Linked DNA regions of Bombyx mori. The protein of the gene in region 2 purifies or fractionates together with the protein of the main gene of each other region. This does not show direct contact. Links are inferred from orthologs where the notes say so. Each region holds a gene or a part of one and is shown on either strand. Other genes may lie near its edges.

Region 1 (6,345 bases), on a different chromosome or scaffold from region 2:
AAGGTTGTTATAATGCCACTTTCCAATACTTAAGCTAATAAAACATTCAAAACTTAGGACACTGTTGTAATAAGCATCTATCTCACGGTAATCTAACACAGTGACTCATATAGTAGTGGAGTTTATATTAGTAGTTGATGATTTTAATTCAATTATATTTCATGTTTATTTATTTTTATTTATTAATAATACTGACAAATTTAATTTTAACTAAATTTTATTTTGATTCAAATATTATGTAATTGTATGTGAAATTTTAAAGGCTTAAGTGGCTTGAAATAAACGCATTTTATTTATTATTTTATAAACTTCATTACTTAAAGCTACTTTTACAGTTTGATCTCACATTTAACATTTTCATTTCATTATTTCTTTACAGATACTTTAGGGGTTTCGTGGTCACAGACTACTTGGGTGTAACACACACACAACACTACATTTTAATGTTGGGCTACATCAATTTTTTCTATATAAAAAATGACATTCATGTTTCTTTCTGTTGAAATAATAAAGTGAGAGCAATAAATGTAAAATTAAACAGTGAAAGTAATTTTATTTATGATGATTAGGGAATCTATTTGAATGTTTGCTTTGTCTGATAATAAGTAGTCCCGGCTATTGTGTGTTGGGCTTCAAAGTCAATCCCCCGTCAGAGTCAGTATACATATATCAGATACTTGAAATTCAGGGTCTGGATGTTGTTGTTGTAAGTTATATGGGTTTCCGGTAATTAAATCATAACACTGAAGAAAATCTGAATTTGGAATGTTGAATGTAAAATGTTAATTATTTTTCACCAAAAAAAGGTTGAATCAGCTGATGTTCACACGCTGGCTTTTCTTTAAATTATAAGTTCACAAAATAGAAGTAAGTAATCTTTCCTTAGAAGATTAATCTTCTATAAATGAAAGATGTACATCATTTATTGTTAATATATTGATTGACTCCAAGAACTTCAAGTTATAAATGATACTTTTTAATTTTAAATTTTATGTACTTCTTCAATGAAATAATTAATGTTAAGACATTAACTACCACTATGGATTTTTCATAATTAGAGCAAAGTTTATTTTAATCATGGTATATATTAAGAACTTTAATATTATTAATTGTAATACTAATTCTTGCTTCAAGAGTCTGATAGTGGTTGTGGTGATAAATTGTAAGGTGGGGCAGTGGCTGTGATGTTTATGTATTATAGTAATTGTGTGTGTAACGGCAGTAAGAAATTTGCCATCTTTATCAATAAACAGATAGCAACATACCACACTATGCAGGCAGAAATTATTACTACCAACTATTGAACTCAATTCACAAAATCTCACCAAGAAACAGTCACTGCAGCGTTCTTTGAGGAAAGTGAGTAGATCTCGATATCCATATTTGGCTATTGGTATGTGCTCTCCCATCATACTGCGGTAGTCCCTCAATAATGAGCGTAGGTCCACTTGCGTAGGACTAGACACCACAAGGGACCGCAGGACTCCCTTCAATTTTTGAAGATCCTCCTCCATAATTGTTTCTGTTGCAATTTAGAAAAAGAGCCTAGTATACTCTTTCACCCATAATTTTTTAAAAAGTGTCATTTCAATATAGTTATCTTATCTTTGTAAGCATTAGAAGATGCTATACAAAATGTTTGTTATTTTAAGATATCTAGAACATATGTATGCATAGAGCCTTCTAGTACAGTATACTTGCATATAACAAGTGTACTAATGTTAAACATTGCATAAATGTGTACCTACCAAGAGTAAGGTTTTACCCAAGCACTCAATATGATCTCTTGAGAATAAATGTCATGTTGGGCACATCTGATCAAAAATAAATTCAAGGTAGAGTGAAATTTTCCAAACCAAATGGATACCAGTATAAATGGATTCCATGGATACCAGTTACCACAGGGTCAGAAGCTTATTTTCGGGCATCGATAATACAGTAGACAGGTAAGAGGGATAAAATTATAAAATTGGTTGTATCATAACCGTGACAATTTATACATAATAAATTCATTTTGATGTTTCGCAAATTTAACGAAAACTCGACACTGTTATTAATTTCGAAAACAATATATAAACAAAACTTTAATAGTAATCGTCATACCTGTTGATTTCGCCTGAAAGAATATTGTAATTTTATGTAGATTTTCATCAAATAATCCAATAATTGCTACAATATTAGTGTATCTATTGATTGCATTTATGGTATTCTTTTAAATAATTGCTTCTGTTGTCTTTAAATAATGTTTTTTATGGTTATGTTTAATTCTTCTATTGGATATGCAAAGGAAACATAGCCCATAAAGAAAACTGTTATAATACAAAGCCAAATCTTAAATTTAAATAAAATGAAAGGGATTTAAATCAGATCTACTTTATGTAACTATACTTGAGACCTTAGAACTTATATCTCAAGGTGGGTGGCGCATTTACTTCCTAGATGTCTATGTGCTCCAGTAACCACTTAACACCAGGTGGACTTTGAGTTCGTCCACCCATCTAAGCAATAAAAATAAAAAGATCAGATACAACAAAACCGTTACATACTGTTCTGTAGAAAAACATTCTAACTGTAGGATAATAAATGTAGAAGAGAATAGGTAAATTTTTATAATCCTAAAATCGTCTAAAATTTTTATTTATGAATTTCGATCCCGTTTGTTCTAGCGATCCTTCTTCAAAGATTTACCTTTCGGGCCGTGTACTGTCTAGTGTGTCTAGTGTCAAATAAAACACAAAAGTCAAAGTCAACTATGTAATGTTTATGTCGTTTCCTAAGATTTTCGATCGAATTTAATTACGTAAGGAATTAGTTTATTTTGCTAGAACATTATGTCCTTCTTCTTAAAACGCACTATTGGTGCGGGAAACGGCGTCGGACGAGCTATTTTAAACAGTACCAAAATACCTGGTGTCCAGCGCGTAGCGACAAAATCTACCGAAAAAACCCCAGTACAAGAGACACGACCAACTGTAGCCAAATTAGATCCACTGCAAAAGGCGCAGCTCGTCGACTTCGGCAAATATGTAGCTGACTGTCTACCCAAGTATGTGCAGAAAGTACAGCTGACTGCCGGCAACGAACTAGAGGTGCTCATCCCTCCGGACGCAGTCATCCCGGTTTTATCCTTTTTGAAGGACCACCACAGCGCTCAGTTTGCAAACCTTGTCGATATCGCTGGCATGGACGTACCCTCGCGCTCAAACAGATTCGAAATCATATATAACATACTTTCTCTACGTTACAATGCCCGAATAAGAGTCAAAACTTACACTGACGAGTTGACTCCTGTAGACTCAGCCTGCGATGTATTCAAGGCCGCAAATTGGTACGAACGAGAGATCTGGGACATGTATGGAGTATTTTTTGCTAACCATCCTGATTTAAGAAGGATTTTAACAGATTACGGTTTTGAGGGGCACCCTTTCAGGAAGGACTTCCCTCTAAGTGGATATGTAGAAGTTCGTTATGACGATGAGCAGAAGCGTGTGGTGGTCGAACCCCTTGAGTTGGCACAAGAGTTCAGACGCTTTGAACTGAGTGCACCATGGGAGCAGTTCCCTAACTTTAGAGCCAACCCTGTAACAGAGGAAGTAGTGAACCCGTCTGAGGATCAACCAAAAAAATAACAATCCATAACTGATTGTGCAATTTATCTGAAATGTAAATTTTAGTAACATCTTTCTCGACTTATATTAGTTCTGGAAAATATTTCAGAAAATTAATCTTACAATAAAGAGTAAAAATATAAAGAGATAATGCCTATTATTTTTTCAACCTTTGTTTGAAACAATTTTTGTATTGTTAGATAATTTGTTAAAATTGTAGTGATATTCGGATGACAAGTGGTGATGGTCCTATTAGTATAGATAGGAAATTAGCTTACCTTCCAGCTAATGTAGATATTACTAAAGACCATTTACAATAAAATGAATACTGCAGGGATCAATTTGTAATTTGACTGATGTATTTTTTTCCTACCTATGCTGATAGCCTTGAGAGGCTATATCGGCGTTACCCTAACGGGTAGGTGAGCTCTCGGGGCTCAAATCGGACGTGTTGCTAACACTGGCCCTAGCAAGAGCAGTGCTTCGCAGAATCTACCACCGGATCGGAACTACGACCCACTGAGAAAATCTGGTGAGAAACTCAGTGGGCTGTGTCTGAGGGTTAATTTGCTCGCCGAACTCTTCGACGAGAATGATGACCGGTACTTGAGGTACCTAAAAGCACCGGTAGTGGATTGGGAGGATCCGAAATGACGTCTTTTTGGCAACGGTGACTGATTAACATTCGGTCCGCAGGATCGATTATGTAGTTACCGCCGGCCACGACAGGAGAGTTTTCGTGTCGTGCCGCCTTCTCCAAGTGGCGCGTTGATGCCGACTGTATATACTTACTGATTGCGTCAAGCTCCAGATTATTATGGAGATGGACCGATGTGTTGATTTAGAATTGTAAAGCAAAAGTTATTGAATGGATATTTTGGCAGTTCTCAGTAATGTAGATGTGTTCGACATTTTTAAATTATGTTATTACTTAGATGGGTGGAGGAAGAGATTACGGCCTACCTGATGTTAAGTTGATACTGGAGCCCATAGACATCTACAACGCAAATGCCGCCACCAACCTAGAGACATGAGTTCTAAGGTCTCCGTTTTAACAATACAACGGCTGCCCCACCCTTCAAACTGATAAGCAATAGTGCTTTACAGAAATAGGCAGCGTGGTGGTACTGAACTTTTTTTTTTTATTGCTTAGATGGGTGGGCGAGCCACAGCCTACCTGGTGTTAAGTGGTTACTGTAGCGCATAGACATTTACGACATAAATGCGCAACCTTGAGATATAAGTTCTAAGGTCTCAAGTATAGTTACAGCGGCTGCCCCACCCTTCAAACCGAAACGCGTTACTGCTTCACGGTATAAATAGGCAGGGTGGTGGTACCTACCCGCGCGGACTCACAAGAGGTCCTACTACCTAACTACGAACTACGCAAAATATATTTTTTTCGGGTTATTTAATAATAAGGAGATGATGACCGAGCTTTGCTCGCTTTTTTGTTGATAACGCTATCTTGTTGTGTCTTTAAAACGGTTAGTTGCCCTCAATTAAGAAAAATAGTATTATTATTCGCCAATAGATGTCGGGAAGAGTTGATTATTGAAAACACGAATAATACAACATTTTCTGAAAATAAATCGTAGCTAGATCGATTTATCGCCCCCGAAATCCCCTGTATACAAAATTTTATAAAAATCGTTGAAGCCGTTTCCGAGATTCAGATTATCTATATTTTAATATACAAGAATTGCTCGTTTAAAGGTATAAGATTTTGCGCGTTTGATTTTTATTACATGGTGTCATTCCTTCACTGTGGAAGTAAGTCGTGAACATTTGTACATATTTCATTAGAAAAATTGGTACTATTGGTATTCGAACATTGCTCGATACGAATGCACCGATAATTTCTTTTAGTCGTTCTTATTTTTAAATATACTTCAAAAATTTTGCTAGTTAACTTTGCCTGTACAATGCAGAAGACATTTAAAATAAGGCATACAAAAGACCAATAAGGAATCTTAATTTTCTTCTTGCCCCTATCCGACATTATGTGAGGTCAGCACAGCATGCTGCATAGACACAGTATCCTCCTTGGGTTACATCTCCAGTAGTATACCCATTGCAACGTATCATAGGTACGGACGTTACCAGTTTCTTCTTTTGGTTCTATAATTTGCATTCTATCATTTACTCGTATATATAAAATATACATTTCTAAGTAAAAGAGCAATATTCATTATGAACAAGAATAGGTATTAAAATGACAAACCAATTTGTGTATTTAACTTTATTGATAATATCTCTAGCCCTAGCGTCTATACCGATATCTCTTGAAATGAAACCAAAGTTGAAAGATGTTGTTGTGGAAGTGACAGCGGAAGCCTCGCTTGTAGGAGTACTCCCACTCGCGGTTGACGATCTTGAAGGCGATGTCCTCGTAGGGGGGGCCGGCGTGAAACCGCAGCACTGCGAACTCCGCGTTCTCGGGGCACGGCTTCTGCAACGTGCGTCACCGTATTACCATACTACCATACTGTCATAATACCATCAAGGGCGGATCCAGGGGGGGGGTCATGGGGGTCATGACCCCCCCCTGAGCTGGTTCCGGCACCTAGGTGGACCACATATTGAACATAATGATTTAAGGACACAATACTTAGTCTGGCCATAAATACTGTTACAATTAAAAATAAACAAAATATTACATTTGAATTTGGAATTTTTATGATTGCTCATTGAGTTTTCTCATTTTGGCGCCAATACATTGTATAATATTTTGCGA
Region 2 (7,681 bases):
AAATTTTCGAAACCATTTCTATTATTTAGATGTAATATTAATGTACATTTAATTTGGATTAAAAGATAAATTTACATTTTATGTTTGCATGTGTATGTTTATAATTCATTTGCATGTAACAAACATCAGCTTCTTTTGTGACAAAATGCAAACTAATGGTTTGCAATTAATGTAATTAACTTTAAGATGATTTTCTTTCAATCTGCTGTTTGTTTCATCTAGTATTACCAAAGCTAAACCATCAGAAACGTCAGAATAGAAATAATTTAGATAGGGAATAAAAGTATAACTAATGTAATCATGTCTAAAATTACTATAAGCGTCATTAAGTACAAACTATCAATATTTAAGAGTACTTTTTAAATCATCATTACATTTTTTAAACATTTTTTGTTTTTTTTTTTGTTTTTCAAATCATGTAACAAAACGTTTGTGCAGAACAAAATGTCACATGTTATGAACATGATTGTGGGTTAATCGTTTCTTAAATTTCTAAATATTTATAAGAATGCTAAGATTAATTTAGTATTCAGTTTAGTGTGTGTATTATCTCTACAATGCTAGTTTAAATGACAATTATTGTATGACGAAGCATAGGTAGTGTTTATAGATGTAGTATTTTCATACATTCGGGAATTGATGTACTCCAATTTCTGAGCATATTGGTACAAAACAACGCGTCATTGTGCTTATAATAATTTTTAATCAAAAATTCCAATACAAATATTGAATGTTATGGGAACAATGCACACCAGCGCCACTTTGACAGTTGCCAACCCCATTAAAGATACAGGGCTGCCAGAATAAATTTTAGATGGACGGGTCAAATGAACTTATTGATCCCTTTGCTTTATAATTTTACTACCCTTATCAAACAACATTTCTTCGATATGTTTTAATACTGACTCCTATGTTATTATTATTCTTATTGAGATAAAAAGTATACCATAAGTGGTTTATATAGCAAATCAGGTCACTAGACCTGAGTAGACCTGGATGCCCTCTGTTATGGGTACCAGAGACTGACATACATACTTATATGCGCTTAAATATAATTATAAACATATAACTAATAAACACCCAAACAAAGAGCAAACAAACTTATTCTCCAAACGAATGTTTGCCCGATGTGAGAATCGAACCTGCGACCCTCGGCGCAATGGTTCGAGCCGGTAACTACTGCACCACCGAATCAGTCAAAGTAGTGAATTATTTAACTTTGTTAAATTAGTGTTTCTTCTGCTTTGAACGTGTAGATAAAACGGACAAATCTATTTTTTTGTCCTGCACGTGTTAAAATTTATTTAAGAAAAACACTATTTTTATCCTTTGTAGTATGAATATCTACATATATGTATATAAAATTTCGGTAGGCTTAGTGTTATAGTAAACTGGAAATATAACTCAATAGGAATTGTTTGATGAATCGCTTTACTAGGAATAAACCTAAGTTTTCATGTCACATTAAGCCTCCTTTTGTCAGTTTGAATTTTTAATGTGACTATACTTTTTTTTTTGTATAAATTCTTGATTTCTTCTTATTTTTATACGCGGCGGAGACGTGGACTTTGCGACAGGTGGAGAAAAAGAAGGTTGATGGTTTGGAGATGTGATGCTGGAGACGAATGCTTGGTACTGGAACTCAGCAATAGGCAGCGTCTTTCGGCGCTCGTACGTGGGCGCATACTATAATTTTATGGACATATCTCTCGGCGAAGAAATATCTGCATAGAGCGCCTTTTCGTTCCAGGCAAACTAGAAGGCACCAAATCGCGTGGAAGGTTGTCCATGCAATAGATCGACCAAGTCAAGTCGGCATGCAGTTGGCGGTTGTTTGCATAAGTGTACTATACTCACCACAAACCGGGAGAAGTGGCGATTGCTCGTGAGGCGCATAGTATCTGCCCACAGCAATGATACTGAATGACGAACACGACCGCTCTAACAAGAGTGATACGACAAAGGAGATACTTTTTCGAAACTTATTTATTAACTTTATTTCTTCCTCAATAGTTATATATTAACTTAATAATCACATGACCATATGCTCCATTTTTGTGGCGTCATATTTGAAACCAAAAGCATATCGGAGGCTGCGATGAATTTCTTGAGGGCTCTGATCGATGGGCTCAGCAGGACCATATTATCTGTATAACTAATGCTGCTTATAAAACTCCATCAATCGAACTGCAGACACCAACACTGCTGAGCTCATTCGGTATGTCAGCCCCCCTGCCTGACACAAACTCCTACTTACACTTACACATCCGATAGCGAACCCGACTATCTTACCACATTATCCTGATTCACATACCAGTATTTAAATAGTGAAATAAGTTTTACCGGAGAGTCCGTATCACTCGATGATTTTCGTTATTGAATATTCTATTGAATGATCGTTTTATTTTAATTTGGTCCTCCTATTGCTACACTATAAATTGCTTTATTTACTTTAACTTAGTTTCCATTGACGGTAAATGAATATCGGACACACTTTACTTGATATTACAAATTAAGTTTCTGCTGTAGATGTAAGTATTGCAAGCTTAAATGACAAAAACAAAACGAATTTTAATTTTGAAACAAAAAGAAGAAAGGAAAATTTGTATGAGTGAAATAATATACGAATTATTGGGGCGATATGCTGGGAAAGATTTGATGTGGAAGGCGGAGGATCGTTCATTGTGGCGGACTATGGGAGAGGCCTACATCCAGCAGAGGAGAGATACAGATGATGAAGTATTGCATAACATATTTATGATCGAAACCTTGCCGTCAAAAATTGTAAAGTATTCAAAATATCGGAGATTGTAGAATGTGTAAGTAAAGAAATAATAAACGACGTGTTTTACATCCAGAAACTTGAAAGCCTTCGAAAAAATACTGTATAATGACTTTGACTTCTGCCAGAAAAAAAGTTAATCGACCTATTTTTACCTCTGGCATTTTAGCTGTAGATGTCATTTTAGTCGTCATCTTTCATTACGACGGTTTTCAAACATGGCGGCCACCGTCGGTAGGATTTGTGGGGCACGTCTTTTGAAAAAATATGGTCTAGTTTGGCCTCAGGTACTAAAAATGTTCCTCAGAATCCCGTAATTCTCTAAAAGTAATTAGTGCTTACAGTACGATAGACATGTATGTTATCAAATGCGACAAAGTTGAAGTTCCAAGTGTCACTGAAAACTGGTGAATTTATCAATTTATAGTTTTTATCCAGGGTTCATAAGTTTTAATTCAAACGACGCTCTGTATGAAATGAATCCAATTAAATGTTAATATATCCGAGTGTGTAGAAAAAAATTGGATCTAAAAGTGATAACCTATTCTGCATTATGTAACAAGTACATATTAATTCTAATGCTGATCGAACATTGCAGGCTTGTCAGCTGTCCACCAACACTCAAGGATGGACAAAAAACAGAAAAGTGGTAAGTTTTGCTGTAACAAAATTTATTTTCCTACATAATATTAAAGCTACTAGTTTTATGAATTTTGTTTGCTTTTAAACTTTGTATCCTGAAGTTTTTGTGCAATTATCTTTAGTAACGAAGATTAAAAGGATCACTTAAATTAAATGATATTAAAAAAATAAATTGTCAATAATTACATAAAATATCAAGACTTATCAGTTGATGTTTGCTGATATGAAGAGTAATAATTGATTCATTAGTTAAATATTGCATCTATAAGTTTGATGAAGTCTGAAAAATTTATAATAACTAATTATTAGTAATATTAGTGTTGCTAATTTATTACGTATTTGAAATAGCTCTTAAATAACATTAAAATTTTATAAATTTAAAGATATGTATCTGTAATATTAAAGTTGAGTGTCACTTTATACACAAATATGGTTTTATGGAAACTTGACAAAACAGACTAATGATACTACTACTATGCTAAGAGTTATGGATTTTTTTTTTCCAATAATTAACTGACAAGAATAGTTTGGCTAGATAAATTTACTCCACAAGGCTATGCTATTGTTTTTGATAAAAATAAGAGGATAACATCTCTTAAAGAGATTATCTTTTAAAGAGTTTTCCACAGTGGTTTCAATCAACCATTGAAGGAAGGAAGGCCTACAGGTCACGTACCATTTAACTAATATGGTTGTAAAAAAATAATTTACACAAAAATAGGGGTATTAAAGGGTTACAATGTTTCTAATGTGAAACAGTCTTTTTTCCAAACTATGCCATAACTCAGAGAGATAACTACTAAATCCAACAGTTTTTGATGCATTTTGTGCATGTGCTCAAATTCAATCTAATAAACGTATTCCAGTGGCTGTCCACTTTGGGAGTGGTAGGTGGAGGTGTTGGAGCTCTACTTTTTGCACTTGAGCAGTCTGTGCAGGCATCAGGCTCTGAAGCTCACCCACCTCACAACCCTTGGAATCACAGTGGCTGGTTCAGCTCCCTGGACCACGCTAGGTGAGTTTTCACTCTTAGAGTTAGAACTCTAAGCATTTAAATTCAATTTCAATAATACAACAAAAGTCATAGATAAAATTATAAAGAAAAATTAACATTAAGATGACCTTTATGATCAAAATCAAGGACGTTCAAAGTCATAATGAATATAAAAATTATGTTTATAAAACATTACTGTAAGAAAAAATACAATTTTCTTGTTTTACTGTATGAAATGGATTGTAATTGTATATACATTAGGCAAAGAAAAACATAATACCTATCAAACATCATTTGTCATAGAACACCTAGTTCCATGTTTGTTACAGTGTCCGTCGGGGTTATGAAGTTTACAAACAAGTCTGCAAGGCATGCCACTCTTTGCAGTATATTGCCTTCAGAAATTTGGTCAATGTCACCCATACTGAAGACGAGGCTAAGGCTGAAGCTGCTGAGGTCAGTCATCGGTGATTATGTCAAATAAATGTTAATTTTATCCTGATGCTATAAATAAATAAATAAATATTTACTAACAATCACGCCACGTTAACTGGTCCCGTGATAAGTTCGTAAAGAACTTGTGTTACAGGTACCAGATAACGGATATAAATGTAAGATTTTTATTATACACATACATATATTTAATAGAATCCATAACCCTGGAAAAGACATTTATATTTATCATACAAATATCTTCCCTTGGCGGGATTCGAACACGCGACCCCCCTATGTAGTGACCATGTCACTTACCACTACACCAGACGGCCGTTAAATGGCCGGCTATGATCATGTGCGAGACATTAATACCAAGCATGATATAAAAAAATGACTCTAGGGATCAATTATATTTGATGTATTTTATAATTGTCAATAACATGCCCTTTTTATTACAAGTAGTCAGTTAAAAGAGAAAAATTACTTTCATATTCATTAGTTATAGGTTTGTCCAACATAGTAAGAACAAAACTGTCATAGCAGTACAATGTATAATATTTAATTGGTAACTTGAACATTTTCAGGTGATGATTAAAGATGGTCCTGATGAGGAGGGCAACTACTTTGAAAGGCCTGGTAAACTTTCTGACTACCTGCCGTCTCCATACCCCAATGAAAATGCGGCTCGTGCTGCAAACAATGGTATGTGTAGAAAATAATAAAATGCAGAGCAAAATCTTAGTATCATTTGTGAATGGGCCCACAAGAAATCAATGTCATGAAATCCTGTAGGGAAACTAAGTAACCTTGATTTCTAAAGGTCTGGGTAGTTAATATTTTTAATAATTGCCATGCCTCTTACTATGATGGTAGATGCAGTCATGGGTATTGGTTTGAAAGATGGAAGTCATTATAAAATGAAACTGAGACATCAAGCTTACGTCTCAAGGCACATGGCTCCACTTAACAACACTTACGGTAGGCAGCGGCTTGGCTCTGCCCCTGGCATTGCTGAAGTTCATGGGCGACGGTAACCACTCACCATCAGGTGGGCCGTATGCTCGTCTGCCTACAAGGGCAATAAAAAAAAAAAAAAAAAAAAAAACTTTCACTTAATAGATTTACATTAAAAAAAATTGCAAAGGTATTATGCATTGGTGTTAAAAACATATTAGTATTATTAAATTTAATGAAATTATTGAAATAGAAGAGAAAATTTTATCTGGATTTTAAAGATCAAATTTAAATAGTGCAAGTTAATAAGTGATTATGCTTGACTCCCTAAATACAAAACTAATAATAAAAATGTTAATTGATATCAGGTGCTTACCCACCGGACTTGTCTCTGATCTGCTCGGGACGTAAGGGCGGCGAAGATTACATCTTCGCGCTACTGACTGGTTACATGGAACCTCCTGCTGGTGTAGTGCTACGTGAGGGACAGAACTACAATCCATACTTCCCAGGAGGTGCCATCTCTATGGCGCAAGTTCTATTTGACGAAGTAAGTTTCATGGATAATTCTAAACTCGTTATATATGTCCATTGGTGATATTTCATTAACAAACAAAATTAGCCTTATACAAGAAGAATAGACTGCATTATATATTATTTTCTATACACATACGAGTAATATCAACGCCCTCTCTAAATATTATATTATGTTTGGCAGGCAGCTGAGTACAGTGACGGCACGCCGGCGACTGCGTCACAGCTCGCCAAGGATGTTGCGACTTTCTTGAAATGGTGCTCAGAACCCGAACTGGACGACCGTCGGCAGATGACCATCAAAGCTATCGGCATGTTCTCCATGCTTGCCGCCGTTGTCTACTACTACAAGCGGCACAAGTGGTCCACGCTCAAGTCTAGAAAGCTCGCCTACAAGCCCGTTTCTAAGAAATAAACGCCAACAACTTACAAGTAGCAAAACAAATGTTTTAGACAATTTTTTTTTTTTCTATAGGCACAGTAACATGTTAATTGTTTATAATTAAATTAATTTATTTTATCTACCATCGCGTGTTTACTTTGTTACACGGGGTGGCTTGCTGTGACTTTGTTACCATGCGTGGTCCCGTAGACGCGAAACCGTATTATCTTATGTAATTATGTTTATAGCATTTTGCCACTGCGAAGCCGTGGCACAGTCAAATTGTAATGTTAGGTGATCTGTCGGTAACTGTGCTTGTGATTTTCCATGAAAGCTCTTACTGTGAATCAGTGTACAGTTGAATAAATGTGTTAAAATCTATTGATTTCATCTTTTCCTTGACCTTCTCTTCCAAATTATGATGCAGCCCTAATATTATTTTAATGCTAAGTGTGTTAAGTGTTAGGTGGTTTCTGGAGCCCATAGACATCTACAACGTAAACGCGCCACCCACCTCGAGATATAAGTTCTAAGGTCTCAGTATAGTTACAACGGCTACCTCACCCTTCGAACCGAAACCCATTACTGCTTCACGGCAGAAATAGGCAGGGCGGTGGTACCTACCCGTGCGAACTCACAAGAAGTCCTACCACCAGTCGTGAGCTCGTCCATCAACCTAAACAATAAAAAAACAAATTGTTGTAATTACTGGTCGTGGTGCGTCTTGCGAGGCAGTTATGTACCACCAGCCATTCTATTCCTGATGTGAAGCAGTAATGGATTCCAGTTTGTAGAGTGGGACAGCCGTTTTAGTATACAATTGAGATTTAGACCTCATGTCTCACGTAGTGATGTCTATGGGCTCCGGTAATCGTGTAACACCCGGTGGGCCGTGAGTTCATTCACCCGTCCATGCATGCAATAAAAAAATCAAATTACATGTATGGCTTGTAACAGT

What was found.
Region 1: the proteins of cytochrome c1 (region 2) and NADH dehydrogenase [ubiquinone] iron-sulfur protein 3, mitochondrial fractionate together in Homo sapiens (co-fractionation; 3 studies listed by BioGRID and IntAct, with this or other methods). This does not show direct contact. The link is inferred for Bombyx mori from reciprocal best matches to the Homo sapiens genes CYC1 and NDUFS3.

Annotation. Positions count from the first base shown.
Region 1 is NC_085125.1:14,788,770-14,795,114, reverse strand, and holds NADH dehydrogenase [ubiquinone] iron-sulfur protein 3, mitochondrial, read left to right. Parts: upstream 1-2,676; 5' UTR 2,677-2,831; coding exon 2,832-3,629; 3' UTR 3,630-3,756; downstream 3,757-6,345. Other genes in the region: uncharacterized protein LOC110386536, read right to left, coding at 1,326-1,514; splicing factor Cactin, read right to left, coding at 5,872-6,060.
Region 2 is NC_085117.1:9,003,967-9,011,647, forward strand, and holds cytochrome c1, read left to right. Parts: upstream 1-2,992; 5' UTR 2,993-3,000; coding exon 3,001-3,069; intron 3,070-3,380; coding exon 3,381-3,431; intron 3,432-4,290; coding exon 4,291-4,439; intron 4,440-4,747; coding exon 4,748-4,874; intron 4,875-5,437; coding exon 5,438-5,555; intron 5,556-6,175; coding exon 6,176-6,357; intron 6,358-6,525; coding exon 6,526-6,756; 3' UTR 6,757-7,104; downstream 7,105-7,681. UniProt on the Homo sapiens protein: Component of the ubiquinol-cytochrome c oxidoreductase, a multisubunit transmembrane complex that is part of the mitochondrial electron transport chain which drives oxidative phosphorylation.